4 linked regions of the Tamandua tetradactyla genome follow. The protein of the gene in region 2 purifies or fractionates together with the protein of the main gene of each other region. This does not show direct contact. Links are inferred from orthologs where the notes say so. Each region holds a gene or a part of one and is shown on either strand. Other genes may lie near its edges. The genes, in order: CDC25C, YWHAE, MARK2 and KLC2.

Region 1 (7,956 bases), on a different chromosome or scaffold from region 2:
AGTCTGAAATAGGTTCTACAACTAACTGTGGTGCTGTGCTTTGAAAGTTATAGCTTTTTTGTATATGTGTTATTATTCACAAAAAAAGAAGAAAAGTCAACTGTGGTAATAAAAAAGTATTTAAGTCCTCTAGCCTCCTATATTCTGGAGCAGCTAGAAGGAAAAATATGAGAGGATCGTATGGTAGCCCATGACAAACTCTGGGATCTGTCCAGTAACCACTTGTTGAAGAGTGCCTTGAAAACTGTTGCTTTTTTATTTCTTTGCTTTGTATATATGTTATACTTTACAATAAAAAAAGTTTAAAAAATCAATTCTGTAAATGTATTAAACTTGTACAAAGAACTAATAATAGAGTGGTATATGGGGGGAAAAGTACCTGTTACAAACCATGGACTGTAGTTAACAGTAATATCTTAATATTCTTTCATTAGCAGTAACTAACATACTACACCAAAACCAGGGGACAACAATAAGGGGTGATAAGGGGCATGGGGTATTCTGGGTTTTCTTTTTATTGTCTACTCTTTTTCTTTTTGGAGAAATGAAAATGTTCTAAAATTGATTGTGATGATAATTGCCCAACTAGGTGATGATACTGTGAGACATTTTATACTTTGAATGGATTATATGGTGTGTGAATTTATCTCAATAAAATTTGTAGTTAAAAAAAAAAATTAATTCTGCCCCCAGTACATCCAGAGGATGACCCTGTAGATGTGACACGAATCTGAGCTTCAAGGTACATTAAGCCATAAAACAAAACTAAAAACCCTGAAACCTTAAAGCCCTTGCTCTTCACCACTAGGCTATCCTCCTTTTTATTGTCATCCATCCTTCAAAATGTTAAATGATTGAGTAAAAGAAGTTAAGTTAGCATTGGCTCACTTGAAAAACACTTAAAAAAGAATTGACAAACTTAAAAAAAAAAAGTCAAGTTTCATACAAAGAAAACTTACATCAGCTTTCATCAAGTGAAAACAATACCTGCCCTTCCCCAGTGCCACCCAAAGGCCCACCCCCACCCTAACTATAATTAAATCTCCTTATACCATTCCTAGTTCTCAAGTGTTTTACTCATGTTCTGCTATTTTTTCTGTTGCCTCCTTTTCTTTCTTTTGTTCTTGTGCTACTACCTTGAACCCCATCTTAATTGTGACTTCATGGGCCAGTCCCTATCTTTGACTGTGCTCCAGTGGATTTCAGCAGAAGATACTACCTTCTGGTCTCCATCCAGATCCTATGAGGGTTCCAGGGCCTGGAGCTTGTCATCCAGTAGGTCATCCAAAGGGGTAGAATCCACTGGCTGTAAGAGTTTCTCCATTCCCTGCCTAGGAAGGCAGCACAGTCAGAGGAATATGCATCTCATACAGTCATTCCCTTTTCAGCCAGTGAAAGCTAAACCTCTGTTGGGTGGGGAGACGTAGGACTCAGCCCACCACTCACAGAAGGAACCAGAAATAGCAAACACACCCCTCATCCCCACTGCCCTGCAGAGTCTGGCTGGGGGGGTCCCAGGAATGCAGGGCTTTTCTCCACTGTCTGATCTGGGCATCCCAGGAGCGACGGCTGTACTTCTTGTTCTTGTTTGGAGTTTGAGGGTGAATCCCTGGCTGTCGCTGTGCCCTAGTAATGAGAAATGTGGGTCAGACTGAGGTCAAGGTGAAAGGGAGCCCCATATAATAGGGGGCACAACTCACTGCTTATCATAGTGAATGAGGAAATTTGTTAGTGATTCCTGAGAATGGTGTAAGATCCATGTTCTTGTGGAAGGCTGAGTTATGTGCCCCAGAAAAAAACATGTTCTTAATCATCAGCACTCCTGTGGGTGTGAGCCCATTATAAATAAGACTTCTTGAAGATGTTAGTTAAGGTTGGGTGCAACTGAATGAAGGTAGATCTTAATCTGGATTACTAGAGGCCTTATAAAGAGGACTTGGAGGTCAGAGAAGCCAGAAAGGAGAAGCTTTTGTAATGTGACTAGAGGCAGATAGACAAGCCAAGGAAATCCAAGGATTGCTGACAGGCAGCACAAGATGCTACAGACCCTCAGGAGAAAGCAAGCCTTGCTAACATCATGATTTTAGACTTCTTCTAGCCTCAAAACTGTAAACCAATAAATTTCTATTGTTTAAGCCATCCCATTGTGTGGTATTTGTTATAGCAGCATGGCAAACTAAGAGGGTCCTCAATCCAACAAGAAAAGTAAATCTTCCAATCACATTAAACACCAAACTTCTGACCTTCGGGAAAGGGTAAGTTAGATAGTCCCAGCTTCCTTGGAAGCCAAAATAGACATAAAAGACAGTGTTTATCTTCCCTTTAAAATGAATTCTACCTTTTCATACATTTAGTTTGTATATATACATGTAAATTTGCATGTAATTAAGCAAGTATGTTGCAATTATCCAACTCAGCTGGAAGCATGAGGGGATAGTAAAAGTGGTTGGAAGGAAAACTACCTCATTAGGAAACACAGGTAAAGCTTTAAAGTCTTATGGGCCAAGTATTACTTGTTCCATTAAAAAAAAAAATCTTAGAAACTTATCTTTAGGGCTAGATTGCAGGAGACTTGGTTTTAACAATGCTGTAACTTTGTGAGAGCACTCAGATTTTAGTATCTTTCCATCACCTGACATTGAAATACAACAACTTGGTTGACACCATTGTTGTCACCATCCCACAGGTGCACTCACTTGGGGACCTTTTGCAGAAAGCACTGATAGCCAGGTGTGCACTTGCCATAATCTATTTGTTTTTGCCGCCGCTGCAGGACAACTTCATCAGTCTCTACTTGCCACCTGCAGGAAGTCCATGTGAATTGTGATTAGAGGCATCAAAGTTGAAACTAACTCATCCCACACTCCCTTAAATCCCAGCCTGAGTCTCAAACTCACCTGGTATGACAGAGCTCTGTACTGACTCCCACGCTCACCATCTCTAGCCTAGAGGATAGAGACTCCTCACAAACTTCCTTTCTGGGGGAGCAGATTCTACAGATGAAGTGAGTATTAGGATAAAAGCCAGCTGCTACAATGCACCTCTCAACCACCACCATCACAACCACAAGATTCAGACACCAGATAAAGGTTGTATTTTTGACGGGTTTCAGAAGTGTGGGTTGGCAAACCACCTACATTGGCACCACCTAGGGACCTTAATAGTTCCTGAACCCTCTCTAAACCTATTGAATCAACAATTGGGGGCCTGCATTTTAAACATTTTTTTATTATTACGGAAAATTTCAAATACGTACCGAAGTAAAATAACATAATGCCTTGGTACATAAAGTGTGGTTCCAGGGCCAGCCACTGCGGCATCACCTGGAGGTTTACAAGAAGTGTAGAATCTTGTGCCCTCACCCAGACTTACTGAATCAGAGTCTGCATTTTAACAGTATCCCCAGGTGGGTAGTAACCGCATTAAACTTTGAGAAGCACTGACATCACACACCCCCATGCTTCTATTATCCAACACTCAAAGCCAGTCTTGTTTCATTTACATCCACCGCTGCTCCCGCCCCCGATTATTTAAAATAAAATCTCCAACATTAAGAATAATTTCTTAATATCACCTAGTCAGTGTTAAATATCCATAAACAACTAAAGTTGGAGATCCTTTCGATTGATAAGGATTATGCCAAGAAATGATCCAACTCCTCTATTTTCCGTGAAAAGGAATTTCCTTTTACCACAACCTAGCATCTCAGAGATGCCGCGCACTAAAAAGGGACACCGAACAAGGAAAGCGCTTGGAAGGGGTCAGTGCCGCGTTGCCTAAACACACACACCTGTCTCGCCCCAACACCTGCCACGCTGGCAATAAATGCTCCATCTCCAGAGATCGGCTAGCAAAACCAGGAAGTTAGAAGAGAAAGGTCCACATAACGGTACGAAAAAAGGAGCAAGGAAAAAATAACCGTTTCCAACACTCTCATCTAAATTAAACTCTCCAAATAATATCTTAGCGAGTGGTGGCCGCCTGTGGGGAACAATTTAAATCTCCCGGGTTGGTGGGGATGTAGTAAGGGAGAGCACAGGAAGGGTGTGGCGATTGGTCAGAGGAAGAGCCAATGGTGCATTAGGCTTCCTGGGGGGGCGGAGCTTACCAGAGGCTGGTGGGCCAATCGCTATCCTGCTCTGACTCCCGGGCGGGGCAAATCTTGCTCCTGGCAAGGCAACCTCGTACCCCCTGTACTGGCCAAATGATTGGCTGAAGGGAACTAGGCGGGTGCGCAGGGATTGGCTGACGCAGGTAGAGGCGAGCGGTGATAGGTTATTGGGACGGCGGAAGATTTGAATGGTCAAGGCCCGTTGCTTTTGGTATTCTTCTACCCAAACCGCGTAATTTCGACCCTCTGAGGAGACAACCCGCGAAACCAAACTCTGGCCTATTCAGTCGACAAGCAGAAGTGTACCCTGGTTAATTGTCACCGTTTCCAGGATTGGTTCTTCCTTTAATTCTGCTCGTCTTCGCTCGTGTCCGATCTTTCCCAGCTTCCCTTTCTCCTGAAGGCAAGGAGACCCCAAATTTGAGGTAAGCCTGGAGTTCTGAGTGTCTGTCACGGAATGACGGAGATCGCATTTTCTCCTCAGTGGTCAGGCCGGGTCCCGCAAACGGAAGTCCAGAGGACCGAATGGGCATTGTCGTGAGTTAAGAGTCCCGATTTCCGGTCAGGACTCGTGAGCTGTTTGCCCCGAACAAATAAAAACCCTCTCTTCATTCCAACTTTGAAGTCCTGAGATTGCCTCTCGGCTACTTCAGGTTCCACCGAAAAGGCCAAGCCTCTTTGGGCAAGTCAGATTTAACCTTCATAATAGGATGCGATTCACTGTTTGGGGATGCCGCTCCGATCCTGAAATGTTTTATCATGCTGGAAAGGGTGGGGGAGGTAACCTTGAAGGCTGGATGACCTAAGATGGTGTTCTCTTTCCACCCAGGCTTTATTTTTCCTTTGGTGAGAATTCGGACACCATGTCTGCAGATCTTTCCTCATCCACAAGAGAAGAGGGAAGCCCAGGCTCAAGGCCCACATTTAGGTGCAGTCAGAGGAAGAGGTTAAACTCGCTCCTGGAGAGAGACACTTCCTTTACGATCTGCCCAGATCTCCGTAGAACTCCAGTGGATAAAATCCTTTGTGATTCTGCAAACCTAAGCATTTTGTCTGGGTAAATGCACTTTTATCATCGCACTCTATCGCCTTTACCTTTCTAAACAGCTTTAAAAAAAAAATTGTCCTAGCTCAAAGACCTGAATTTAAAACTCAACTCTGCCCTTAACTAATTGTGAGACTCTTTTGAGTCTCAGGATGATTTTCTGTGATACGGAAGTAATAATCTCTCCCCTCATCCTGTTTTACTAGGATCATGTGAAGATCATATAACATGATGTTTAAGGAAAGTCTTCGCAAATTCTATAGCGTTGTGACTTGGTTAATTTTTACTACTAGTAGTAATGGTATTGTTCTTTTACTTTAAATCATGAACATGCATGTCCTGTTGTCTCAGCTAGCAAACAAAGTTGGAGAGTTATAGAAATGAGATGTACTAGAAACTCCAATGAGAAATCCAATCTGTGTGCTTACGGCGCACGGGGCAGTGGATGTGGGGTTAAAACCTATAGTTCAATAAATTTTAGTCCTCAGTTAAAAAAAAAATTATCCTGGTGAGGAGAAAATAAGATATAAGTTATTGGAGTAGAAAGAAAGTGAGATTTTTTCTCAGCCTAGTTGTTCTATTATCAGCCTGGAATACTTCCAAAAATATTTAGATTTATTTGGACATCAGTCAGATTTTGAGATTGTCATCAAAGGGTGTTTCAAATGAAGAAAGCAACATGATCTTTGTCTTTAAGGTTTCATGACCTAATGGGAATCTTGATGTTCTATTATGTCTCAACAGAGGAACTCCAAAATGTTGTCTTGATCTTTCGAATCTTAGCAGTGGGGAGATGTCTGGCACTCAACTTACCACTTCTGCAGACCTTGATGAAACTGGTAGGGAGGAGAGAGGTATAGCCATCAATGGGAAAAATAACTTAGGGATAGGACAGAGTTGTAGGGCAGAGAGGGAAGGTGGTGAGAATAAGTAAGAGAGGCTTGAAGTTTGAATTTTGTATGTAAGTAGAGGATTTTTGAGGAGAATGATTAAGCCAATGGGAAGAAAAAGTTAGCATTAAAAGGAGTCACTTTGCATTTGAGAAAGTTAGATAGGAAGGAATATTTTGTTAGCTGATTGATGGTAGGAATCAAAGTGTAATAAAATATGAGAAGTTTTGTGCCTTAGTCTAATTTCAGCAGAGGCAAAGAAACCAACATAAGGAAATACTTTGTCAACTAAGACTGTTTTTTTATAGGGTCTAAGTCTGAAATGGATGTGTTTCATAAGACAAAAGTCTAGTACTTGTTCTAATTTCAGATTTCCTGAGTGATAAGCTTTCTTTTTGGCTCATGAAAAAATCTCCATGGGTTAATATAGTATAGTATAGTTAGTGTAATATAGTATAGTTCTGGTTCCCAGAACCAGAATTTTTTCTTTAGGTGATGCATGTAAATTCTTGTATTTCTTGAATTTCTGTTTGTCAGGAGACTCAGTTTTTGGAAATACTATGGCTTACTGATGATGAAAATCAGAAGGAAAGACAGGGTGCATGAACAAGGATAACTGATTCTTCATGTCTGATTTCAGGACACTTGTATTCTTCAGGACCTCAGGAAATACAGTTAGCTGTGGTGTAAGTTTTTCTTTCTAAATGAACCGCACGCTACAACATTTTTAGCACTGATCATGGGGATTTTATCCTGTGTAGACTCTGCAAAGTACAGAATATTTCACTTTGGAGATAAGTGGGCTTTGAGATCCAAGTCATTCCCTCGAAAGGCTAAGTTTCCCGGATCTGAATAGTGTTGTGAAAATGTGCCTGATAGTTAAAATGAATTCAATCAGTGTTATCTTCAAAAATGAAGGAAAATGACATACTGTACTTGCATGTAGGCATAATGTTTATTATTACTGTTATAGATTCTTAACAATCTTAAAATTTTCAGACAAGGAATACTCAACAAATGCAACAAATTTTGATTCAGCTCTTCTTAAACTTATAAAAAGTTTTGCACTTGGCTGTTTTAATCCTTTTGGAGCTTTATCTTTCAGTGTTTAGGTGAAAGATGACTGTTTTTATCAATATGTGTGAAAATTTCACTTTGTATAGCTTGCATTTTCTTTGAATTGCTTAAAATGTCCTAACCCATGATGAAATCCTGAGAGAGAGGATGGAAATTCATAATTATTTTTCTTTATCTCTTAGAACAGCTTTAGGTTTACCGAAAAATCCTTCAGAAAGTACAGTATTCCCTATATGGCCCTGAACACACAGTTTGCCCTATTATTAACATTTTACATTAGTGTAGTACATATGTTACAACTGATGAACTGATATTATTAAATTATTAATTACAGTCCATAGTTTATCTTAGGGTTCACTCTTTCAGTTGTATAGTTTTTTCTAAGATTTTTTTAAATTGTGGTAACACTTAACACAATATAAAATTTCCCATTTTAACCACTTTCAAAGTGTTCAGTGATGTTAATTACATTCACAATGTTGTACTACCATCTGTTACCAAAACTTTTCCATCACCCCAAACAGAATTTAATCTCATTCAATTAAACATTATCTCTCCATTCTCCAACTCTACCTTAGTGTTAGAAATACATATTTACACCAACAGTCAACACTGAAAAATTAGTAACTAAAAATGATTATGTCTACATGAGATGAGAAAAAAACCACATTCATCTTTGTTACATATCCATAAATAGGATAATGCAAGTGAAGTGAGGGGATGTCACTTGCCATCTTGATATTTAGCTCTGAGAATATCCTATATATTATTATGGTAAGATACACATCAACCAGATGCAGGGCCCCTGGAACGGAAGAAAGGAAAAGGTGGGA
Region 2 (6,984 bases):
GGTCCCCACCACTCTAACTAGAGTAAGATAGAGGTGGGGCTCTGGTGTTTTACAAGGACAGTTCTCAAGTAAAAGATTCAGGACAGAGATATTCCTGGTGTTGATGCATTCATCACACAGAAAGTGAATAAAAAGTGATCATCAAAAACTCTGCAACCAATCTTCACAGGAGTAAACTGAGGTAAGAACAAAAGAACTACCCCACAAGCCCAAATGTAGTTTATGCCTACTCCTCTACTCCTCCAAAATGGGAAAAGGAGCCTTTGTTTTCCTCTGTATTCCCCAATTTTCTAAAAGTACTAGTAAGACTTGGTTCAGGATTGCTAAGAGATGAAGGGACTTGCCTAATATGGCTACCAATACACAATCTGACTTGCTCAAGTGACAAGATGTCAAATTTAATCTTCAAAGTGAACGGTCTTAACAGCAAACTTCAATATTTCATATATATATCCCCAAATTATTATTTTCCTGAAAACAGCTTGTCTCTTCGTCTAATACCATTAAAAAATCTATAAATTGATTGCAATTCCCTAGGACAGAATTAAATAGGAAACGAATCTACAAAGAAGTTTAGACATTAGGTTCAACACAGCACACAAAAGACAAGGATACTGCAAGGACAGAGAAAAAAAAGCGATTAGTGCAGTTGGAAAGCCAATATTTACCCCTAAGTACCCCAAATCCAAACCACTCAAATGAATTTTTCATCTTCTTCCACTCACTACACCTGATAAATTTTTTTTGGTGTAGAGAACTATGGATCATTTCTTCGGCAACAAAAAATTGAATTCATTGATTGTGCTCAATAAGAAACCTATGCATCTGTGGACACAGGTAAAGACTGATCCCCAGTGAGTATTCTTCCTTTCCACTGAAACTCATCACAAATAGTCACAGGAGTTTCCCCCACCTTTGTAGATCCTATTTTCCTCTCCCTTTAGCCCTTGAAATGAAAACGTAACATTTAAACAATGTAAAAATCTGGCTCCAGCAAAAAAAAGTCCTATATTGAAAATCAATAAAGACTTGGGTCAAAATTCCTCAGCACTCAATCCCAAAACATGATTATCACTAAATTATCCTTTATTTGGGAGATACAATCATGAGCTCCCAGATCAGCTTTTAAAACGAGTTTTGTTTTTTGGTGTTTTTTTTTTTAATAAGAAAGCATTCCTCAAGATCCTTTTTGGTTATCACAGCACGTTTACTCAGAGTCTAAATCCCTACAGAACAGAAAGCATTCAAATATAATTTAAAGTTTCCTCCCCCAACGGCAACAGCAGATTAAAAGGGGAACCTATTTGGGACACCAAGTGGGAAAAAAAAACTCCCACTGCAAGCATACCTACAATTGTTTGAATTTTAAACACCGAAATAAAGACAAATCTGACCTTGAGCTGTACTTCCCATCTTATTCCCTCATACAAATAGCAATGTAAGGACTTAGACGATGAAATTTAGTGCAGTATCCTTCTCTAAATTTGAGTTCTAGCCACCTACCAAAATTTCAAATTCCCGAATCCTAATTTCTGGTGAAACACTAGAGCTAGCCCTGAGGCTATTCGCATGACCAAAGTGGTATTCAAGGAAAGCAAGAGCTCTACGACATTTTGAAAAATAAGTAGTTTAAAAAAGTAAGAGAATTCTAAGGATCGCACTTAATGACGACCATGCCAGACCCCCCCCCCCAAAAGCATAAAAACATCTATCTGCATAGGGACCATATAAGATTTTTTTTCTCATATGATGCATCAGTTAAGTACCTGGAATAGCTTAAGAACCACTCCGATCCTGGGGAGTTAACCAAAATGCAGCTACTCTACCTTATTTGAAATAATTTTATTCTTCTACAGAAGGTCGTTACGTTTTTCATAAAGGTGCATGTGAAAAGAAAAGTCATTATTTTTACAACCAGTAAACTGAGACACGGGAAAGATTAGAACACGATCTCCTTGTCTCCTCTTTAAGGTTCTATCCACGAGAACCCACTGCTCCTGGAACCAAAGATTACAAGAACTTCAAGCTTCTCTGAATAAGTCCGAAGAAAAGGAGAATGGATGAGGTTTTCTGGACCTCCCCAGAAGAACAAGTAGGCGAGGCTGAACGTAAAGCCCAAAAAACCATCACTACAAGGTGTGCCACCCTACGGGAAGGGAATTCGATCGCAGCATCTCAGCTTGCCTCCGCCCAAAGATGAACTGCAGTGATTCCCACTCTCCCACCAACACCAAGAATGTCCCCCACCCCAAGTCCAAAGAAACCCTCTGCTCGCAACGGTCCTCCTTTGTGAGTCTCCACAGCCGCCGCCCCACACTGGGCCTCCGGGGAAAAGCCACCGCCCCCACCCGCCATGTTTCCCTGAAAGACACCAGCGCTACAGCTCCCAGTCTCCACCGTCCCCTATGTGGCGGGTGCCTCTTCCCCATCACCCCACCCAACTGTTCTCCATATCACAAGACAGTCCCAGAAGCTTCCACGGAATTGCTCGCCTGGAGACAGCACGGGGCCATCTCCTCCCCCCTCCCCCGCCCCAGGACTCGCCCTCCCCCAGCCGCCATTTTACAACCAACTCCTCCACCCTATCGCCTTAGTCTCCTAGCCCGCGAATGGCTGCAACTGAAGACACCGAAGGGGTCTAATTCCTGGGCCTGGAGCCTCCCACAGCTCCGGCAACCCAGAGGCCATTTCCTCCTTCCCGAATCCACATCCCCAGGTCAGGGCCGGAGACGATGCCGCCATTTTGTCTCCTGCTCCTGGCCTCTGTGGGCGGCGGCAGAGGGTCCGAGAATCCCAGCCCCCAACTGCACCCCCCAACTCACCGTCGTATCGCTCGGCCTGCTCGGCCAGCTTCGCCTGGTACACCAGATCTTCCCGATCATCCATAGCGGCGGCGGCTTCGGCAGGGTGTGCACGACGGATGGAAGCGGATAGCGTCTCGACTCTCTCAGCCTCTTGCTCCGCGTCCGGGCAGCAAAAATGGCGGCGCCTCAATCCGGGACTTCCGCCTGCGCACGCGGACAACTGCTCAGCTCTATGGCAACCGCTCCCTGGCAACTGGCGCGGGGGGCGGGCCCTCGAGCTCGGCTCTCGAAGAGGCTGAAACCCGCGAGACGCCCCGCCTCCGTTGGCTCCGCTGGAGCTGGAGTGTAGAGACTGCAACCGCAGCTGAGGGGCAGCGCTAACGGCGAAGAGGGAGAGAGGACAGCCGGAGGCGCAGCCCGTGTGAACCGCGCCTGAAAAGACTGAGCGAGCGATCTTGGGCTACTACTGTGGGCCCATGCCTAGGACTGAAGGGCAGGGAAAGGGACAGGCTGTTTTTGTCATGGCAGGCCTCCCTATCGAAATCAACTGGCTTCCTTTACCGTGCCCAGGTTCTCACGACTAAACCCAGTCCTGGGTCTTTTCAGACTTTTTAAACCCGGAGTAAAGTGTTGGGCTCTTGCTAAGGGGGGATTCCAGTTTTTACATCTCGTCTTCTTCCTTGCACTTTCTATTTTTTCTTCTCCCCTTTAGCCTTCTTTTAATGCTTAGGTCCACGTGGATAGGAGCAGGAAAGTTGTTCGGGGAGCCTGCTTTGGGTTACAAGGTGCCGAAAAGTTGAACCAAGGGAAAACTTGATTTTGAGGAAGTAGGAAGATCTGTCAATGGAAATTGCTTGGTGTTAGCAACGATCTGGACCGTTTTACTTCTTTCACCTACCTTTGAAACACAGGTGTTCTCCGAGGTTTGCTTGGCGTGCTGCTTCACCTCCAAACACTCTCTAGCTGCTTCCATGGCAGCCTACCTTCTATTTCTAACTCCAGTCTCCCTTTCCAAGTTCATGCAGGGTATTTCTACTTGGATGATCTTTGGGGACATCCCCTCAGAATCAACATGTGTTAAATGGAACTCATCTTTTTCTGCAGTACACCAGTAATTTATTGAGGAAATGGATTTCCCAGTTCCTCAATAAATGGCTGTGCAAAGAATAAAACAGGTAAATAAAACCTAAGTTATGTGGTGGGCTCTGCAGTCGATGTGGAATGAAAAGTAGGTTGTAGCCAAATTACCAAGAGTCTTATATGGCAAGCTAAGATGTTTGTATCTTATTCTGTGGACACAAGGGAGCTATTGATGATTTTGCATGGAAAGATAGTACTGGCAAAGATAGTACTGGCATAGAGATTAGTAGGTGTTGAATAACAATGGTTACAAGGTATGTTAAATGATCAGAATATTACAATAGTCCAGTCAAAAGGTAATGGATAGTGGCAGTGAGAATAGGAAGGAAAGGATAAATAGGAACGGCACTAGAGAGGTAGAAGCCCCAAGAGTTTGTAGATGACAGGATTTAGAAATATTCTGAGAGGGTGAAAATCAATACTAACTTTCCATCTTCCCACCCTGAGTCACTGGGATAGTGAGTGGCAGTACCATAAACAACGAAAAATGGAATGACAGGAAGACTTACTGGTGTACTGCAGAAAAAGGAGATGAGTTTCATTTAACACATGTTGATTCTGAGGGGATGTCCCCAAAGATCATCCAAGTAGAAATACCCTGCATGAACTTGGAAAGGGAGACTGGAGTTAGAAATAGAAGGTAGGCTGCCATGGAAGCAGCTAGAGAGTGTTTGGAAGTGCAGCAGCACGCCAAGCATAAAACCTCAGAGAACACCTGTGTTTCAAAGGTAGGTGAAAGAAGAGCCAGCAAAGGAGACTGCAAGGCTTCCTATTGCATTCCAAATTAAGCTTCTTCACACTTATTATCACTTAACAGATTTCAGTGGTAAAAGACTAAGAGTCAAAAGATCTAGGTTCTAGCTCTAATTCTACGACTAAATAAATGTATGACCTTCAGCAGGACACTTCAACCCTCTGAGCTTTGAGTTCATCTGTACAGTAAAGGAACTGGATTTTCTGGACTCGAGATCCCTTCCAGCTCTGTACGATACATCACAGCAGTTAAAGCCATGGGCTCTGGACATCTTGGATTCAAAAGCTACTTATTGCCTCTGTTATGGGGGCAAATCATTCATCTTCTTTAAATCTCAGTTTTCTCACCTATAAGATGAGAAAGATATTTTCCTCATACAAATGAGAATTAAGTGGGAGATTGCATGAAAAGTGCCTGAGACTCCATAAGTGTTTGGCAATTCTTATCAATGGTTCTATGATTCAAGCTTGAGTAAGAAACATAAGTTAATATAAGTGAGAAGAAAAAAAAAAGGGGGTGGTAAGTAGTGTGAAATGATGGAGAGATATCCAATAAGATAAGCACTGAGGAAAAGCCACTGGGTATAGAGTTAGGTCTTTAGTGTCCCTCATGAGCAACTTGGAAAAGGTATTGGAAGCCAGGCTGCATTTGGCAGAAGCTCAAAGAAGGAGAGGGGGTGGAAGGGTTGAGTATAGGGCTCTCTCAAGAAACAGCAGTGAAGAGATGGAGGGTGAGAGAATAGTAATCTGAGAGAAAGGAAAGAAAATGGAATTGTGAGTGGCCAAAAGGGGTGGTCACATATTGTTGAGCCACAGGTTTGTTCCACATGTTCACGTATCCCACCCACCTTAGAAAGCTGGCTCTGCTGCCAGGTCAAATACAGAGCTGTCACGGACATGCAGAGATTAGGGGTGGGTACGCTTCTTCCCAACTGCGTCTTCTTTCCTTGCTAGGAGCTTCTCAACACTGCTTCCAAAGACTAGCAGAGTCTATCCGAAGGTGCCCCTTCCTAAGAAACTGCTGAGAAGGCAGAAATCTTAAACTTAGATTGATTCTCAGATTGTACTGCCTATTCTCTAAGTAAACAAGGTTTACAGAAATTGTTTACAGGGCACCAAAAATTGTGAACAGACTTTGAAATGGCATCTGGAATTATAAACACATAAAAAAAAAACATGGCTGTTTAGCATATAATACTGCCCTTTTTACCACTGTTGTGTTAATAGATACTTTACACTCCATTGAAAATCCTCTAAAACAACAGGTCATTAAGGTCACACCCTTAAGTAGAAGTCTCCAAACTTTACAGAATTTGCTTTAATAGAAATAAGAGCTCTTTTGACCTGTCTGGATGAGAGTATCCACAGATACATGTCAGCGTACTAAAAACACTCACAGAAGGAAATACGTTATTAAAAAAATGTGATTAGTCATTGCCCCCAGGAGCTTGCAGTTTTATTGCTTTTCTAACATTTACCACTATTGTGTTCCTAAAGCATTATTTTATTAAAATATTATTATAAATATAGGCTCATTTAAAAATCTTAGACCTTTCTGAGTTTAATTTTTTCCCCTATATATCTTTATCATCAAAATGCATTTTTGAAGTTATGCAGTCACATGAAAAATTCTCACAATGTATGTAGAAGCCAAGATATAAAATTACATATTCAGTATTGTGTTGTTAAAATACAATTATACCTATTTAAAAAGATCAGAAAAATAAAACAATATTAAATAAGTTTTGTTTCAGTAATGGGACTACAAGTGATTCATTTTCAAATTTATACTTTTTTGTATTTTCATAAATGTCTTTATTATCATGCATTAATTTATGGAATCAAAGGGTGGAAATTTTTAAATGACTATACTACATTATTGTTCTGCAGATTGCTTTTTTCATGAATAGTACCTATAAAACTACTTTATTCTTTTTAATTACCTTATGGTATTCCCTTGTATGGATGTTTAAGAAAGAAATCTTCTACTGATGAACATTTAAGCTCTCTGCAGTTTTGCTATTACTATAACCGGTGCCCGCTGGCAGTGGTGCCAGCTGAGCCCCAATCCAGGTTCGATCCAGGTTCATTATTAGTCTCCACACTAAAAGAATTTAGAGGTGAGAGGGCCAGTAGGAATCAGTAGTAAAATTTGTTAAAGGAGAGAGTACACGTTAAAGAGGTTAATGAGGATGCTCCCAAGGGAGGGACATGGGCTGAGTGTAGTGTGTAAGCTTATTTTATAGGAAAGGTTTACTGGTGGCAGGTTTCCATAGTAACTTTTGAA
Region 3 (7,207 bases), on a different chromosome or scaffold from region 2:
AGGATTTGCTCAGGTATTAAAAAACCCAAACATTAACCTTCCATACAGAGAACACTGGAGAAATTGAGCAGTGCCCCAAGGTCACTTGATCCTAAGTGGTATTTGGCACAGTTTGCTGGTTTGGCGTTTGCTGAGAGATTTCTACTTTATATTTGAGCAAAAAACTTCTTGGCGGGGGACCTCTATGCTGTGTTCCCAGTGCTTGCCCTGTGCACAAGATTTGCCTCCGTCCCTCCCCTGACAAGTTGTCTTAATCCTCTCACCTATAAACAAGTGCAGCAGAACATGCTGGTCCACTCCCATGACCTTGGCTGTCTGGTCATGGGATGGCAGGCATCAATGGTAGATACCGCAGTCACTTGACATGGTAGAGCTGTCAGGACAAAGAGGTGCAGATACCAGGAGGAAGCCGGGGCCTGCCCGTGAGGGTAGACGGGAGTGTGTCTGGTTCCTTTGCGAGGACCATCTAGGGGAGGTCAGCCTCTCCTGGGGAGTGTGGGGCAGAGTTAGGACTTTCAGCTCTGAGAAGAAGATGGATAATCACTTTTCATTCTTTCTTGCACTGCCTTTATTACCGTGAATTCCTAATTTTTGTATCTCATTTATCTTTCTCTTATATCTGAAATCCTGTCTGCAGGACATGCAGCTGTTACAGGAAACTGCCCTGAGACAGACACTAGTTCATGGGATACTAAACCCAGTACCAAAAATCCCATCTTCTCAAATAGTGAGCCTGTTATATTGTGTGAAGGACAGCTGGTGATGGGAGCCTGGCTCCACACAAGGCTGCCAAGTCTCCAAGCCAGAGAGACTCAGGAGCGTGAACTACAGCTAAATTTTCACCCCCACTGCCCCACTCCTCCCACCACACACACAGGTTTTCCTCATCATAGCAGAAGAGGCAGAGCTTAGCTTTAGAGAGTACATAACATAAGAATTAGGGTCTCCCACCAGACTGTGTGTGTGTGTTTCTTAATCACTAGTCACATTTCCCATCGTGACTATTGGTTTGCAAAGACTCCATGGTCCTATATCTAGAAGGTCTTGGCAAAATTGCTGACATTTGGATCTCAAGAGCTGTGGTATATCCTCTGGATTTTCCTACGTTGGGATGTAGATGTTTAAAGTGCTTTTTATCAGGGGAGACTATAGTGGCAGGGGCGTTTTATGGAAAAGAGAGAACGATTGAGCTGGCTCTACCCAAGTTCAAGTCTGAGCCTTGAGAGTAGACGACCAGAACTTGGCTTTCAACTGCAGAGCTTTCCTAGATCAGTTTGAAAAGTTCCGTCTCATCTGGAGATGCAGAGCATTTATGGTGAGCACAAGTTCCACCACAAGTTGTTATATGGAATTATAACAATAGTGAGTTCCATTTGCATTTAGAATATACCAGGCACTATTCTATGTGTTTGGATGGTGTTGGATATTTGGCATGTCTGATCTTACACCTTTTGTTTCAAGGCTTGGTAGAGACCACTTCGTGCCTGGAAAGTTCTTTGTCCTTGGTAGTCAACATAGACAGGATAGGATGGATATCAGTGACCTTGTACAGCCCAGCTAAATTCTTTCACTAGAGGTGTCCTAGGTGGGTTTCTTCTCAGTCTTCAGGACTTTATTTAAGCTTCTATGCCTGTTGGTAGTTACAGCTGCCCTTTAGAATTTGTTGGAGGGAGGGAGGGTCCTGTATTCCTTTTGTATTCTGCCCTTTCTGTGCATTTGGAGCTGGAGAGCTATGGATTTGGTTGCTTGCCTCCTTCAAAATAACGATTATTCTCTTGTCTGCAGTCTTTGTAATAGTACATCCAACAGTGCTCAACCCCGCCCCCCTTTCTCCCCAATACCACCTGTTAACTGGTGGTTCTAGTTCCTCAGGGCTTCCACCAGCACATGAGCTAATCTGTATCAAAGAGCCCACCCCCAGACCCCTGTCACAGTGGTTAGAAAGCACAGAGCCTCCAACACTCAGCTGTGAAACGTGAACCCAGGTCTTTGCTGCCTTAGCCATAGCTAAGCTGGCTGTTCTCTGGGCCTTTTCATTCTCTTAGAAATCGTGCAAACAGGCTCTCTTCTAGGACTCTGAAAAGATGAATTAATTATGAAATATACTTTTTAAGAAGGTACTTGTAATGGTAAATGGCTATCATCTGGTTTACTGTACTCTGCTCCTAGGCCAAATACACAAGTAGCTAGGGCACCCTGGAGTGGAACTGTCATTGCTGCCAGCAAGTGAACCACGGTGTTTGGCTTTGGGAGCACCCTAGGCCTAAAGTCACAAGCTGACATATATTTGGTCTCGCTGAGAGGCTTGCACTCTTTAGTATTTTCCGCCACTTTTGACAGAAGAAACCTTTTCCATTTATCTGGCAAGCTAGTCAGGGCACCTGCCCAGGTCATGGCCACTTAGAATCCAGCAGTCTCTGCCCTCAGCCCAGGGTTGCAGCAGCAGGGGTGGCAAGCCCAGCGAGGTAGAATGAGGCCCATTCCTTGCTTTAGTTGCCTCATAGCCTTGTAGGAGAGACAGAGTGTTTGACCTGATGTGCCAGTGTACTGTCTTAGGATCCCGTTTCTCTTCTCTAGCTGCAAGCTTTCCTACCTGGTCTTCTTAACCCATCCATCCCTTCTCCTGTAAGGCAGTACCTTTCAGCATTCCTTTCCTCCAGCCTTATTCCTGGTCTCTGTCTGGGTCAGTATCTCCTTATCCAACCTTATGCTCCAATCACCTCCAAATGCCCGATTCTTTACCACCGTGGTTTTTAAGTCCCTATCATCTCCACCACCACCACCCCCAGCTCTTGTTTCAAGCCCAGTTTCTGCTGCCCATGATGTATAGAGAGCAAAGATAGTTCCTGGATCCCACGTTGGAACTCTGAAGTCCTTTTCCTGTTCTGAACTATGCTTTAGAGCTGAAGTACAGTTAATATTTTACTTTTGATCCAATGGTGGGCCCTCATGGGCTGGTTTTGAGAACACAACCACCGTTTGTGGCATGTCTTTATGGAAAAATAGTTCCTACTTAACACAGGAAGGAACTGTTGGTAAGTTGGGGATTTCTTGACTAATATGCTGCAGCAGATTTGCTTGTGCCCTTGTGGAAGTGTTCTCATTACTTTGCAGACATAGCACCATCTATCACAGAAATAAGTTGTCCTTTTGGATGCTGAATGAGCATTAAATAAAATAAAATAAAATAAAAAAAACACTTCCCTGACACCCCACCCCACTCCCCACACCCCCAGCTGAAGTTTGCCACAAAGCTATGCTGATTCTCTCTGATTGCTCTGCGGGGCAGTTGTGTGATTCTCAATATCAGCTCACTGACCCGTACTTAGGTAGCACCAGAAATGGGGCACTCCACCCCCACCCCCAGCCCACCCCTACGGCTCAGATGTCTGTTCACCTGCTTGGGTTCTTAATGATCTGCTGTATGAGAAAGATAACATCTCAGCCTATGAACAGGAACGGCCCAGCAGGGGGTTTTGCTTTTAGAAACAGCAGCCAGTTGGATTTTTAATGGTCACTTAACTGGAGCAGCTGCATCACAGCATGGCCCTGTGGGGAATAGTTCTGAGGCCAGGGTGGCAGTGACAGCCTTAGGTGATTTTTGTTACTTCTTCTGCTTGAGCTTTGACCTCTAGCCATGGTTACTTCTAAGGCAAGCAGACTTTGCCCCAGTGTTTTTTTCTGACATTTCCTCTTCCTTCAACTCCCCTTTTGAAACTGGAGGAGTAAGAAAGCAGTATGTTTTCCATTTCCAGATAAAGATGAAATGGAAAGAGAAGCAGTGTCTTGTTCAGCACCTTCCAGTGGTAGGGCTGGAACCAGATGGGACCCAGAAGGCCTGTTTCCCGCCCAGCACTGGATCTATTCTGCAGCATAAAGACATTTTAAAGAAATCACATTGCAAAAGGGCAGAGACAAAGAAATAAATCTACATCCAGGTAGAAAGGCTGTTGCATAAATAGCAAGGTAGTTTTTTGTTTGTTTGTTTTATTTGTTTAAAAAAAAAATGATCTCATGCTTCTTTTTTACTTTGTGTTGGCAAAAAACCCAGGAGAAGATGGGAGATTCTGGGAGGAGATGATTATGCTGGGTGAGTCAACTGAGCTCCCCAGCTGCCGTTTTTAGTTCCTTTGCTTTTCTGTAACAGGAGGCTGTTTGGGGAGTGGTGGGGGGTAGGGTGGGGAATGCTGGTTTATGCATCAAGACAGGAGGCAGGTGTGTATGTGTATGGGTGATTTTCTTTTGGTAGGTGGCACCCTGGGGTTGACAGGGCCTTATGATCAGTGTATTGGTTCAAACAGAAGATACCAAAACAGAGCCTATAGTTAGGCTCTGCTGCAAGTCACTGTCACTTCCCCAAATCAATAGTGTTAAAGTTGCATTGCATTGTTGTAGTAAGATACAATGTTTTTTTAGCATATCAGTGGAAAAATTGAACGTAAAGAGGCAGAGAGAAGAATTGTCTTAAGTGGGAGTGGCTGGTAGTTGTCACAGGCAACAGGAAGTTCAGAGGAGAGGTTTCCCCCTCTGAGATGAAAGGAGGGCTTGGGCTTAATGGAGGGTGGCCAGGGAGTCTGCCCTGCTGGTCCTTGGCTAAGCTTTGTGTTCTGAGTTCCTCTGCACTTCACCTTGGTGACCCCTTTACCTGATGCTTTGTGTCAGGAGAGAGCACCTGAGCCTTTTCCCACCTGAGAAAGCTCGCTAGTGGAATTAGATTTCCATCGGTGTCATCCAGGGAATCTTGTGGCCTACTGCTCTGCTGGTTGTCTGCAGAGTGCTATGATTTGGGGGATCACAGAGATTTTCATGAAGATGCCCCACCACATTTTCCTATTTATTCACTCTTACATATATGTTCTCTCAGTACATTTTGAATACGTCTGCTGTGCTAGACATTGTTCTGGGCCATGAATAAGATGGGCCTGTGTCCCTCTTTTGCAGTGTAGGCTGGTGGGAAGGAGAGATGGTATCCAACCAATTTCAAGGGTGATGAATGTCTGGAAAGGGGAAGCAGGTCTCATGGCAAGAGGTTTTGGTCTTGCTTCCTCAGACCTTCTTCTCCTTAGAAAATGAAGGCCACTCTGTCCTGGGGGGCTTTAGGGTTCACAGAGTTGTACCTCTTTTATTCCATATGTAAGTAACATGTGCACTGGTAGGCATTGGGGGCACACAAAGCAAGCAGGCTACCATCTCTGGCCTCTCAGGGCTTGAGAGAGGAAAGACATGGAGACACAGAGTAAAAAAGATAAGCCAGTGTAGATAAAGTGCTTTGAGAGTCCAGAAAAGGGAGCAGTTACTCCCAGTTAAGAAGTGTCTAGATAGTTCTTTGAACACAAGGATTTAGGTAAAACAAGGGATAGAAGATTTACTTACCTGAATTACTTAAAGAAAGCATGTGGTTGATGGAACTCTTCATCCACAATTCCATTCCATTCCCTCCAAGGCAGCCAGAGAGGTAGAGCTGGGACTTGACCCCAGGATGACACCCTTCACTACCATACCATATGCAGCTTCCCGGAAGTGTGCTGGAGGGAGCCAGCAGTGTAAGCTGGGTGTAGAAGCCCAGAGTCCTGAGAATGTGCTAAAACATAAGCTGTTAGGCAAAAAAAAAAAAGGGGGTTAGAGGGAAGCCCAGGCACCTCAACTCCACTTCCCACAATCTTCTGTAAAGGGAGCCAAACCTTTGTGCTGCAGGCTGACTTCTCCCTACCCCCTCCACCCCCATTCCCCAGGGCCTTGGGCTGCTGGCAGGCTGGCTCTCCTGTGATATGGAGGAACTTGCTGGTCTCCATGGTTACAGTAACCCACTGGTACAAGAGGAGCCGAATGGAGTGCAACGCTAGCAGTGTGAGCTTCCCCCAGTCCTTGGCACCACGTGGTACTGGTATATCGGCTGTTTCTTTGACCTTTCCTGGGAGGAAAGAGTTAAGGAGCTGGTCAGAAAGGGAAGGGTCCAGTCAGGGCCTGGAAGGACCACCTTCATCCTCCTCTGGGTAGCTGCAGAAGACAGAGGCATGGCTCCCTTTCCATTCACCCACTCTTCCCAGCAAGAATGCTTTTATGTTAGGAAAGAGGGTCATCTTTGCCTGACAGCCCAGCCAGAGCATAAGGGTGCCTTTCCCTTATTTTAGAAGGCGTATCAGGATGGCAAGAACCTAGGTACTTGTAGTCAAATGCTTAGAGGTTATAGCTCTTTCAGGGCCCAGAGAACCCCTTGAGATGGGAAACATTAACAAGTCCTTGCTGTGTATGCCAAGCACTGACATAGATTCTCTCATTTAGTCCTCACATAAATCCTGTGAAATGGGTACAGTTACTAGCTTTTAATGTCCTTGTGTTCCAAAAAGGAAACAGACTAGAGAAGTAATCTTGCTTGTGAAATAGCTAGCAAAGATGGGGCTTAAAGCCAGGTCCACCTGACTCCAGAGCTCTGCTCTCTAGTCTCCCTTAACAAAGTGAGCTAGAGCTGCTATAATAAGTCTCTCTATACAGCTTCCCTCTAAGTTTCTAGAATGCAGAAATCAGTCTCACTGAACTTTACATCTGGCCCTGGCTCCAGAAATAGGTGCTCAAAAAAGGTTTGATGAAATGGCGGCAGTAGTTGGGATTTGAGACAGAGCTCAGAGCCCAGTGAGCAGATCCTCAGAGATGAAGTGGTGGTGGAGGCTGCTGGAGCCATGGTTGCCCTGGTCACAGAGGAGCCAGGCATTTCAAGTGGCTCTAAAAAGGAAGGTTTTTGTGTGGTACGCATTGCTCTGTGGCTTCCATGCTTGAAGAGGAGTGAGCTGGAGTAGGCGGTTTGTTCTGATCTCACTCCAGGTCAGTTCTTGCCTACTCATCTTCCCCCAGGGAGATTCTGGCTTCTGCTGCGGTTGCTTTGAGGCTTGCAGGCTCCCCTCATGACCTGGGCTTCAGGGCTGGACTCCCTGCTTTGGGATGAGGGTTGCAGCTCAGAGAACATGCCAGTGGGGGCCAGTTGACAGCAGAAGGGAAGCCAAGCACCTTACTTTTGACTCTGTGGTTAAGTAGCAGGCTCTACTGGTCTCCTTTATCAAGGATCCACCTTCTCTGGCTGGAAAAGGGAGCATCCCTTTGGCGGCTTTGTACAGCCCCAGCCTTCCCTGCAACAAGAGCATAAAGGAATGTGAACATCCCCAGGAGGGGCCATTACAGTTCATTTTTGGGGTGGGGGTACATCTGGCCTCTG
Region 4 (7,898 bases), on a different chromosome or scaffold from region 2:
AATGAAAGATCGCTCATCCCACCAGCTGAAAGCGTTAAAAGGAGAAGTGATGATCTCAGCAGAAGGAGGGAAAATTTCCATCTTTACTTTAGCCAGCCAGCTTCTCCTGGGGGATTCATCACAAACCTTCATTGGAGTACCCAGCTTGCAGCCTGCCCCATGGAATTAGGACTTGCCCATCCGCAGAGTTGCATGAGCCAACGCCTAAAAAAAGATCTCATAATATTTATATTAAATGTGCATATATACATATACATGTATTTGCATATATACATACCTCCCGTTGGTTCTATTTCCTTAGAGAACCCTGACTAACGCAGTTATATTCAGACACCTTTCTATTTCCTGCCTTGTCTGTTGCCTGATTTCATTCTGAGTGCATTTTCTTCCCAGCAACACTCTAAACAGAGACTGCCCTGTATTTCATAATTTTTCTCTCCACCCTCAGCTCACTAGGACAGCGTCTGGCAAATAGTAAGCTTGGTGGTGATAATAACAATAAGGAGCTGCAAGAAACAGCAACGGTTTTGTGCAAAGCATAATGTCAAGATTTTTAACGATGCTATTTTATTCAGTCGTCTCAAGGACCCAGCAAGGAAGGTGGTAGCTACCCCATTTTACAGATGTGGACACAGAGGCAGTTACAGAGCATGCCTGATGTCGCACAGCTGGAGAGTGGAGAAACACTCTTTGAATTTAGCTGTGTCTGATCCCAAAGCCTGTGCGCTTTTCTACTGCTTGGAGCAAGCACCTTTCTAGTCCCTGGACCAGGAGGTCCCAAGAAAGAGAAGATACAGAATCACCATGTGCCTGCCAAAGAAGGAGCCAGAAGCCTTTTGGGGAAGCGCCAAGCAGATTTGCTTTGGGGCTCAGTGAACAAAAGCACTGACAGCCAGAGTGGTCGCACGCAGAACAGACTTCTTAGGAAATGGCAAACTGAACCCTTGTCGGGGAGCCCTCCACTATCAACTGCTTCTGAGTAAAGCTGCTGACATCAAGTTGAATGATATCCTTGGTGAAAGTGCCCCCCAACCATTGCAAAGAAAAGGAGGGAAGCTAGCCAAAGGAAAAAAAAAAAACATAATTTAAGAAAGCATATTTGAGTGGGATGAATGCTTCAGCAGGTCCAAGGGGAAGGGATAGGAGCAGTAGGAGTGATTTTCAGGGAGAAAACCATATTAAAAGTAGCAAAAAAAGAAAAACTTCCCCAGGCATGGGATGGGGGTGGGTGAACGGTGTAAGCCAATGAGCACAGCAGAAAATGGCATAAGGAGCTGAATCACCATTGGGCATGGATTCATTCTTCTATTCTCCATTTATTGAGCCCCCTTCAGCAGCCTGGCATGGAACCAACAGCTACTGGTGGGGGTGGGTAGGCACAGAACATGGCAGGATGAAGTTACAGCCTCTTCCTTCTCTTGGGAGAGGCACAGTCTGATCTTTGGAGACAAGATAAAAAGTCAAGTGGCTGAAACACGATGAGCAGTCTCACCACCCTCCCCCTCTCTGCGTGGGACATGACTCCCAGGGGTGTGGACCTTCCTGGCAACGTGGGACAGAGATCCTAGAATGAGCTGAGACTCAGCATCAAGGGACTGAGAAAAACCCTAGAATGAGCTGAGAATTAACATCAAGGGATTGAGAGAAACTTCTCGACCAAAAGGGGGACGAGTAAAATGAGACAAAATGTCAATGGCTGAGAGATTCCAAACAGAGTTGAGAGGTTATCCTGGAGGTTATTCTTATGCATTAAGTAGATATCACCTTGTTGTTCAAGATGCAGTGGAGAGGCTGGAGGGAACTGCCTGAAAATGTAGAGCTGTGTTCCAGTAGCCATGTTTCTTGAGGATGATTGAACAATGATATAGCTTTCACAATGAGACTCTGTGAATGTGAAAACCTTATGTCTGATGCTCCCTTTAGCTACTATATGTTCAGAAGAGTAGAACATATGGAATAAAAATAAATAATAGGGGGAACAAATGTTAAAATAAATTCAGTTTGAAATAGTGGTAAATGAAAGCGAGGGGTAAGGGGTATGGTATGTATAGTCTTTTTTTTCTCTATTATCATTTTATTTCTTTTTCTGTTGTCTTTTATTTCTTTTTCTAAATCGATGCAAATGTACTAAGAAATGATGAACATGCAAAAAAAAAAAAGTCAAGTGGCTGAAAAGGTTGAACACATGCAAGGTTAAGCATGGAAAGCAAGATAAGAGCATGAGAACGCCAGCTTCCCTCCACGGGATCACAGGGGAGGAGCAGGCCAGATGCCATAAAGGGAATCACAAAGAAACCACAAAAGCCTACAGAGATTTAGCAGAGAAGATGGGGCAAAAACAAAACTAAACAAAAAAGCAGTAAGAATCATAAAGGGGACTGAAAAATGTTCTTTACGTTTACCTGGGAAAAGATGATAAAAGAAATGTGCTCCTTGATTAGACAGAGAGAAGGCATGAACAAAGCAGGGCTTTGGGGGGTGCGTTTGCACTTGGCTGTGTGGTGTGGGCACCTACGTGGGTCTGTAAACTCACACACGCGGAGGTGTGCACATGAGCCCATAAGCGTTCTGGGCCTTTGAGTGAGCCCGCTGGAGGTTGTGTGCAAGGGTGTGTGTGACTACTTTTGTGTGAGTGTGTCAGTTCTCTTGACTTCTACTGCATGTGGTCAGCCTCCCTCGCCCACTGGCACCAAACGGCGTGAACTCTTGGATAGAAAAGGATGTGGCAGTCACCAGGGACCTTAGCTCCTGGGGAAAACAGGATCAAAAGCCTGCTCCTGCTCTCCTACTTTCCCCTCTCTGGGCCTCAGTTTCCTCACCTGCAAAACAAGGACTTTTAAGCAGCGGCTCTCAACCTAGGGCGTACATCACAGGCACCTCTGAAGTTCTAAAATACCAAGAGATGCCCAGGACCCACCCTGGCACTGTCGAATCCAAACCTCCAAAAGGACCCATTTTAACAAAATCTCTTCCCAAAAGATTCCAAAACCTCTTTCAGAGGGACAAAGATACCCCACGTTCTGTTTCCTCTCTATGATCGGGATGGCAAGGTGAGAGATCAGTCCTGGTCTGGGGGTTCTCAGGCACAGAGGGCAGGCTGGTCAAATTGCAGTCTGGGTGCCTCTGGGAGACAGGGCCAACGGAACAGCGAAGGATGGCAGACCTCAAACGCAGGCGACCCCCAACCTTCAGGGGCTCTGGCAGAAAACCAGTCACATCAGATCAACAGGGATAAACTCAAGATCTGCACCGATGTTAACCAAAATCATCAACGGCCACAAGCCACTGGAAACAGCAGTTGCTTTCGAGGAGGAGAGCCGGATGGCTGAGGACATGAGAGAGGGAAGTACATTTCACTGCACCTTTTGTGTGCCTTATGGATTTTGTTTCATATGAATGCATTAGTGTTCCTAAAAAAAAATCACTGAGAAGAAATCAGTGGTGGAAGCCCAGGTTTGGGGAGAAGTACCTGGGACATAAGGACCTAGAGTTGTAGCTTGAGCAGGCGCATTGCTAGGCTGTCAACATTAACGACATCACTTGCCGCTTCACAGGTGGATAGATGGCATGTGGTCAGGGAGGGCCACCCTCTGTGATCTGTGCAGTTCACACCTTGCCTGGGTCACTGGACGCTGAAAGAGGTGTCTGGAGACCAGCAGGCACCGGAAAAGGGACCAGGGTTGTCAGCTCAGGCAGCAGAGGGGGTGGAGCACCATTGGTACTCCAAATATCCTCTCTGGCAAAAGGAAGCCTGAGGACCGAGCTACAGTGGGGTGAGCACTGCAGGAAAGCACTTTTCAGTCTAAGGAAGACGTGTCACACTTAGAGCTGTCCTACAGCAGAGTGTCACAGCGCACACTCCAGCTAACTGAAAGTGCTGGATGAGATTCCCACACCCACCAAGATGCGCAACTCAGTGAATTCTGACTCTGAACCCGCTCTGCCTCAGTTGAGATGTCTCTACCAGTGCCAGGGCTTGCTGTGCAGGTTTTGTCCCTCGGAGTGTTCATCCTGCTGTGCCAACATAGAAGCAGTGGGGTCAGGGCCAGTGTGGCCACCCACCCTGGGCTGTGGGGTGCCAGACCAGACCCCCAGGCCTGGGAAGATCCTGCCAAGGCCATCAGATGCATCCTTCTGCCTCTTGTTAAACCACATTTACTATGTGCCCTGCAGGAGCTGCTCTAAGATTAAACATGACAGACAGGTCCCGACCTGCATTCTAGGAGACAGCAAACCACAAGAAAAGTGTCAGAAGGGATAAGTGCTCTAGAGAGCACTAAATGGGCGCCGGAGGGGGAGGAAAGTCAAGGGAAGCCTCTCTGCAAAGGTGACACAATCCGAGCTCTGAATGACACCTTCACGGACCAAAGATGCTCCTCAGCACAGAGGCCTGAGTCTTGGTCTCCGTTCGCATCCGGCAAGAAGTAGCCGTAAGAAGCCAGTGAATCCCCTCAAGGGACATGGACAGCTCTGAAGGGCGCCGGAGCAGAAGTAGCCTGGGAGTCTGGAGATCTGGGTTCAGAGCTGAAGGTGGGGATAACAGAAGTACCCTCCTAACCTACTCTTTGTGAGCTTAGGTGACAAGGTATTTCAGGCACCCAAAGCGCCCGACACACAGAAAGTGCTCAATAAATGTCAACCGCTATGGTCATTTTTGGTCCCAGCCAGCCAGGCTCTGGACTCGGAGGTGGACTCAGTTTCTCTCGCCGTCCTCTCTGCTCTCGGCTTTGGCTGCGTTGGGGTGCACGGTCTCCCGAGCCTCGGCAAGAGGCCTCCGGGCATTGACTCGACGGGGAACCCGAGGCTGGAGGAGTGTGGGAAACGCGGGCTTGCAACCTGCGCCTCTGACCAGCCCACGCCCCGCCCCCTCCGGCCGGTGGCCACACCCCCACCCGGAGCGTGTCCTGCGGGTCCTGCTCCTTTAAGGCAGAGAGCCCTCCGGGGAGAGCGCGTCTCGCCCCCTCCGACGCCGTGGAGGTAGAGGCTTCACCTTTAAGGCGGCGCGGGGATTGCTGGGAAGGCCGGCGGGATGGAGGCGGCGGGACCCGCTCACGGCTGCGAGTCCCGGTGAAGCGGTCCGAGAGCCGGAGCCGGAGCCGTAGCCGGAGCCGGAGCGGGAGCTGGGCTAGAGCGGGACCCATAGATCCGCGCGGCCGATCAGGCAGGGAGAGGGGTCAGGTCCCAGGGGGGCAGGGGGCTCCGGGTCGGCCCAGGGGAGGGGTCGTCATGGGCGCGGCCTGTGGGAGGACCAGGCCAGCGGGCGGGCGGCGCGGTCCTCGGTGGCCGCGGGCTGGAGCTCGGCCTTTGCAGGGGAGGGGTCCGCAGGGCGTCGCGCCGCTCTTTGGGGAGGAGGTCGTCGTGAGCGCGGCCTGGAGGGTCGAGGGACCCGTGTCTCAGCCCCTCTAAGGGAGGGGTCTCCGCAGGGTCGGCCTGCCTTAGGAGAGGGGCCCAATGCCTCTGCTTGCCTTTTGGGAAGGGGACGAGGGCGGACCGGGTCTCCCGGAGGGGCTGGGGTCTCCTGCCCGGTCGAGCCCCCACGATCCCCATAGGACTGTCCCCCGGCGCGCCCTGCCCTGAGGAAGTCCTCTGGGATGCCCCGAGACAAGGGCCGAAACCAGCCCCGAGTGGGTGGGTGGTCAGGGGCAGAATCCCTGTCCGGCCTCACCGGCGGCACCGCATTGCGTCTCCCCGGCCGACACGGGCCGGGCGCGCCCCCTGTAGGCCTAGCGCGAGCACCGTACGGGCTGCCGGCCGGGGGGCCTGGGCACCCTGGGGACCCAGGCGTCGGGGGACCGCCGGTGTTTACCGAATCCGGGGCGGACTGCGGCGTGGCCCCAGGCCTGGCGCCCGCCAGCCGGCCCCTCACTCTCACAGGCGACGCGGCCATGGCCACGATGGTGCTTCCGCGGGAGGAGAAGCTGAGCCAAGATGAGATCGTACTGGGCACCAAGGCCGTCATCCAGGGACTGGAGACCCTGCGCGGGGAGCACCGCGCCCTGCTCGCCCCCCTGGTGGCGCATGAGGCTGCCGATGCCGAGCCCGGCTCGCAGGAGCGCTGTGTCCTTCTGCGCCGCTCCCTGGAGGCCATCGAGTTGGGACTGGGGGAGGCCCAGGTAGGGGGTCTGGGTGCTGAGGTGGGTGGGCAGGAAAGGTATCGGATCTTCCAGGGAAATCCTGGCAAAGTAGGAGCAGAATCTAGCAGGGGACATCTGTTTCCTGGAGCCCCCTGGTAGGATCTCAGTGCATGAATGTTCTTTGGTGACCCCAGCCCTGCCCTGCCCTGCCCTGCCCCAGACATCCTGGTTACTCTCTAGCTCTGACTCCCCTCTTCCCAGCAGAAACTGGCTAGTAGAAGGAAATCCTTAAGAAAACCAACACCCTCTCACCCCCAACAGAAAAATTTTCATTCTTTTGTTTGTTCATTAACAGATAAGTTATCCAGGGATACAGGGTCCAACAAGACAGACAAGAGCCCTGCCCTAGTTTAGTAGGAAGAGACAGAAACACTTGTATACAGAAAATTGTTACAGATTGTGATAATTTCTTGGAAGAAAAGAACAAGACCTTGTGTTAGCATATAGCAGGAGGTCTTCCTTATTGGTTAGGCAAGGTGGGAATGAAACATCCTCCAAGAAAGGGAGGAGGGAGAAGCTGCATGTGCAAAGGTCCTGAGGCAGGAAAGATCTTGTGGTTGAGGACTTAAAGGAAGACTTTTGTGCCTGGGGCTCAGAGGAGGAAGGGATGGGGACAGAAGAGAGGGAGGCAAGAGCCAGAGCATGCTGCACCTTGTTAGTTTGGGTTTTATTCTCAGGAAATTGGGAAGCCTCTGGAGGGTTTCAAGCAAACAGAAGACCCGGTCTGGCTGAGGTGTGGAAAATGAACCATAGTGGGTCAAGGGCAGAAGCAGGTAGCAGGTGGCCTGGATCCACTGCTGAAATTCAAATGAGGGATGGCAACTTGGACTAAAAGGGTAACCAGGGGGGTGAAGATAAGGGGACAAGTTCTGGATGTTTTGAAGGCAGTTCCAGCAGGACCTGGGAGGGACTAAAGGGGAGAGAGACGGGGAGGGTAATTCCCAAGCTTGTTAAGCTTGGGCAGGTTAAGGCTATGAGAGAGCCTGGAGGAGGAAGGGCCAGGATTCTATTTTGGCCTACTTAAGGTGGGCTGCCACGAGATGCAGATGGAGATGTCCAGGACCACCAAGGTGTGTTCCCTTAGTTGGTTCTCAGGGAAGGAGTCTGGGCTTCCCCACCCCTAGATCTTGGCTAAGCCACTGCCTGGCTCTGTGACTCCTGGGCAGGCCGTATCATTGTGGTTTCCTTGTCTGCTATATATATTTACAGACTATTTAGGGATTTTTTTTTTTTTTTTGAAAGCTAGTGGTTGTGAAAACACCTGTCACTTAGGCATTTGCTACCCAACTAGAAACTGCAGAGTCCCAGCCTGCCTGGCCCTCAGGGAGGGCAACATGTTGGTCAATTAGCTCTTGTGTGCAGAGAAGAGCACACATGGACCTTGGCCCTAGAAGTGCACAGGCACTGGCACAGATGGGAGCAGGATGGCTTTGAGGGCTCTGGGAGTTGGAGCTGCGGGGAGGTTAGCCCTGCTCTCCTAGAGCCAAGGGTGCAAGTGGGACGAGAAGTCACTGCAGTAATGATGCTGGGCCCTGAAGGCTGAGAGGGGTTTCAGCAGATGGAGAAAGAAGGGAAGGTATTTTAGGCAAAGGGCATAACCCAGGCCAAGGCCCCAAGGCAAGAGCCTGGAAGCTCAGAGAAGACATGAGAGAAGTTGGGAAAAGGGATGTAGCCTGAGGCTGAGGGCTCTGGATCGCCTTATCTGCCCCTGTGGCTCCCTAGACCTTCTGAAGATTCAGGACACACACTTCCCTTCCTGGAAGC

What was found.
Region 1: the proteins of YWHAE (region 2) and CDC25C purify together in Homo sapiens (affinity purification with western blotting; 9 studies listed by BioGRID and IntAct, with this or other methods). This does not show direct contact. The link is inferred for Tamandua tetradactyla from reciprocal best matches to the Homo sapiens genes YWHAE and CDC25C.
Region 3: the proteins of YWHAE (region 2) and MARK2 purify together in Homo sapiens (affinity purification with mass spectrometry; 8 studies listed by BioGRID and IntAct, with this or other methods). This does not show direct contact. The link is inferred for Tamandua tetradactyla from reciprocal best matches to the Homo sapiens genes YWHAE and MARK2.
Region 4: the proteins of YWHAE (region 2) and KLC2 purify together in Homo sapiens (affinity purification with mass spectrometry; 3 studies listed by BioGRID and IntAct, with this or other methods). This does not show direct contact. The link is inferred for Tamandua tetradactyla from reciprocal best matches to the Homo sapiens genes YWHAE and KLC2.

The regions. Positions count from the first base shown.
Region 1 is NC_135346.1:17,999,259-18,007,214, reverse strand, and holds the start of CDC25C (M-phase inducer phosphatase 3), read left to right. Parts: upstream 1-4,940; 5' UTR 4,941-4,974; coding exon 4,975-5,168; intron 5,169-5,900; coding exon 5,901-6,010; intron 6,011-6,686; coding exon 6,687-6,732; intron 6,733-7,956. Other genes in the region: oocyte-specific histone RNA stem-loop-binding protein 2-like, read right to left, coding at 1,241-1,331, 1,474-1,626, 2,697-2,801, 2,898-2,993, 3,791-3,834. UniProt on the Homo sapiens protein: Functions as a dosage-dependent inducer in mitotic control. Tyrosine protein phosphatase required for progression of the cell cycle. When phosphorylated, highly effective in activating G2 cells into prophase.
Region 2 is NC_135332.1:55,181,733-55,188,716, forward strand, and holds the start of YWHAE (14-3-3 protein epsilon), read right to left. Parts: upstream 3,010-6,984; 5' UTR 2,887-3,009; coding exon 2,823-2,886; intron 1-2,822. UniProt on the Homo sapiens protein: Adapter protein implicated in the regulation of a large spectrum of both general and specialized signaling pathways. Binds to a large number of partners, usually by recognition of a phosphoserine or phosphothreonine motif.
Region 3 is NC_135335.1:10,713,328-10,720,534, reverse strand, and holds the start of MARK2 (serine/threonine-protein kinase MARK2), read left to right. Parts: upstream 1-4,194; 5' UTR 4,195-5,790; coding exon 5,791-5,847; intron 5,848-5,866; exon of another isoform or gene 5,867-7,207. UniProt on the Homo sapiens protein: Serine/threonine-protein kinase. Involved in cell polarity and microtubule dynamics regulation. Phosphorylates CRTC2/TORC2, DCX, HDAC7, KIF13B, MAP2, MAP4 and RAB11FIP2. Phosphorylates the microtubule-associated protein MAPT/TAU.
Region 4 is NC_135335.1:8,173,712-8,181,609, reverse strand, and holds the start of KLC2 (kinesin light chain 2), read left to right. Parts: upstream 1-4,886; 5' UTR 4,887-4,977; intron 4,978-5,000; exon of another isoform or gene 5,001-5,161; intron 5,162-5,838; 5' UTR 5,839-5,885; coding exon 5,886-6,113; intron 6,114-7,898. UniProt on the Homo sapiens protein: Kinesin is a microtubule-associated force-producing protein that plays a role in organelle transport. The light chain functions in coupling of cargo to the heavy chain or in the modulation of its ATPase activity.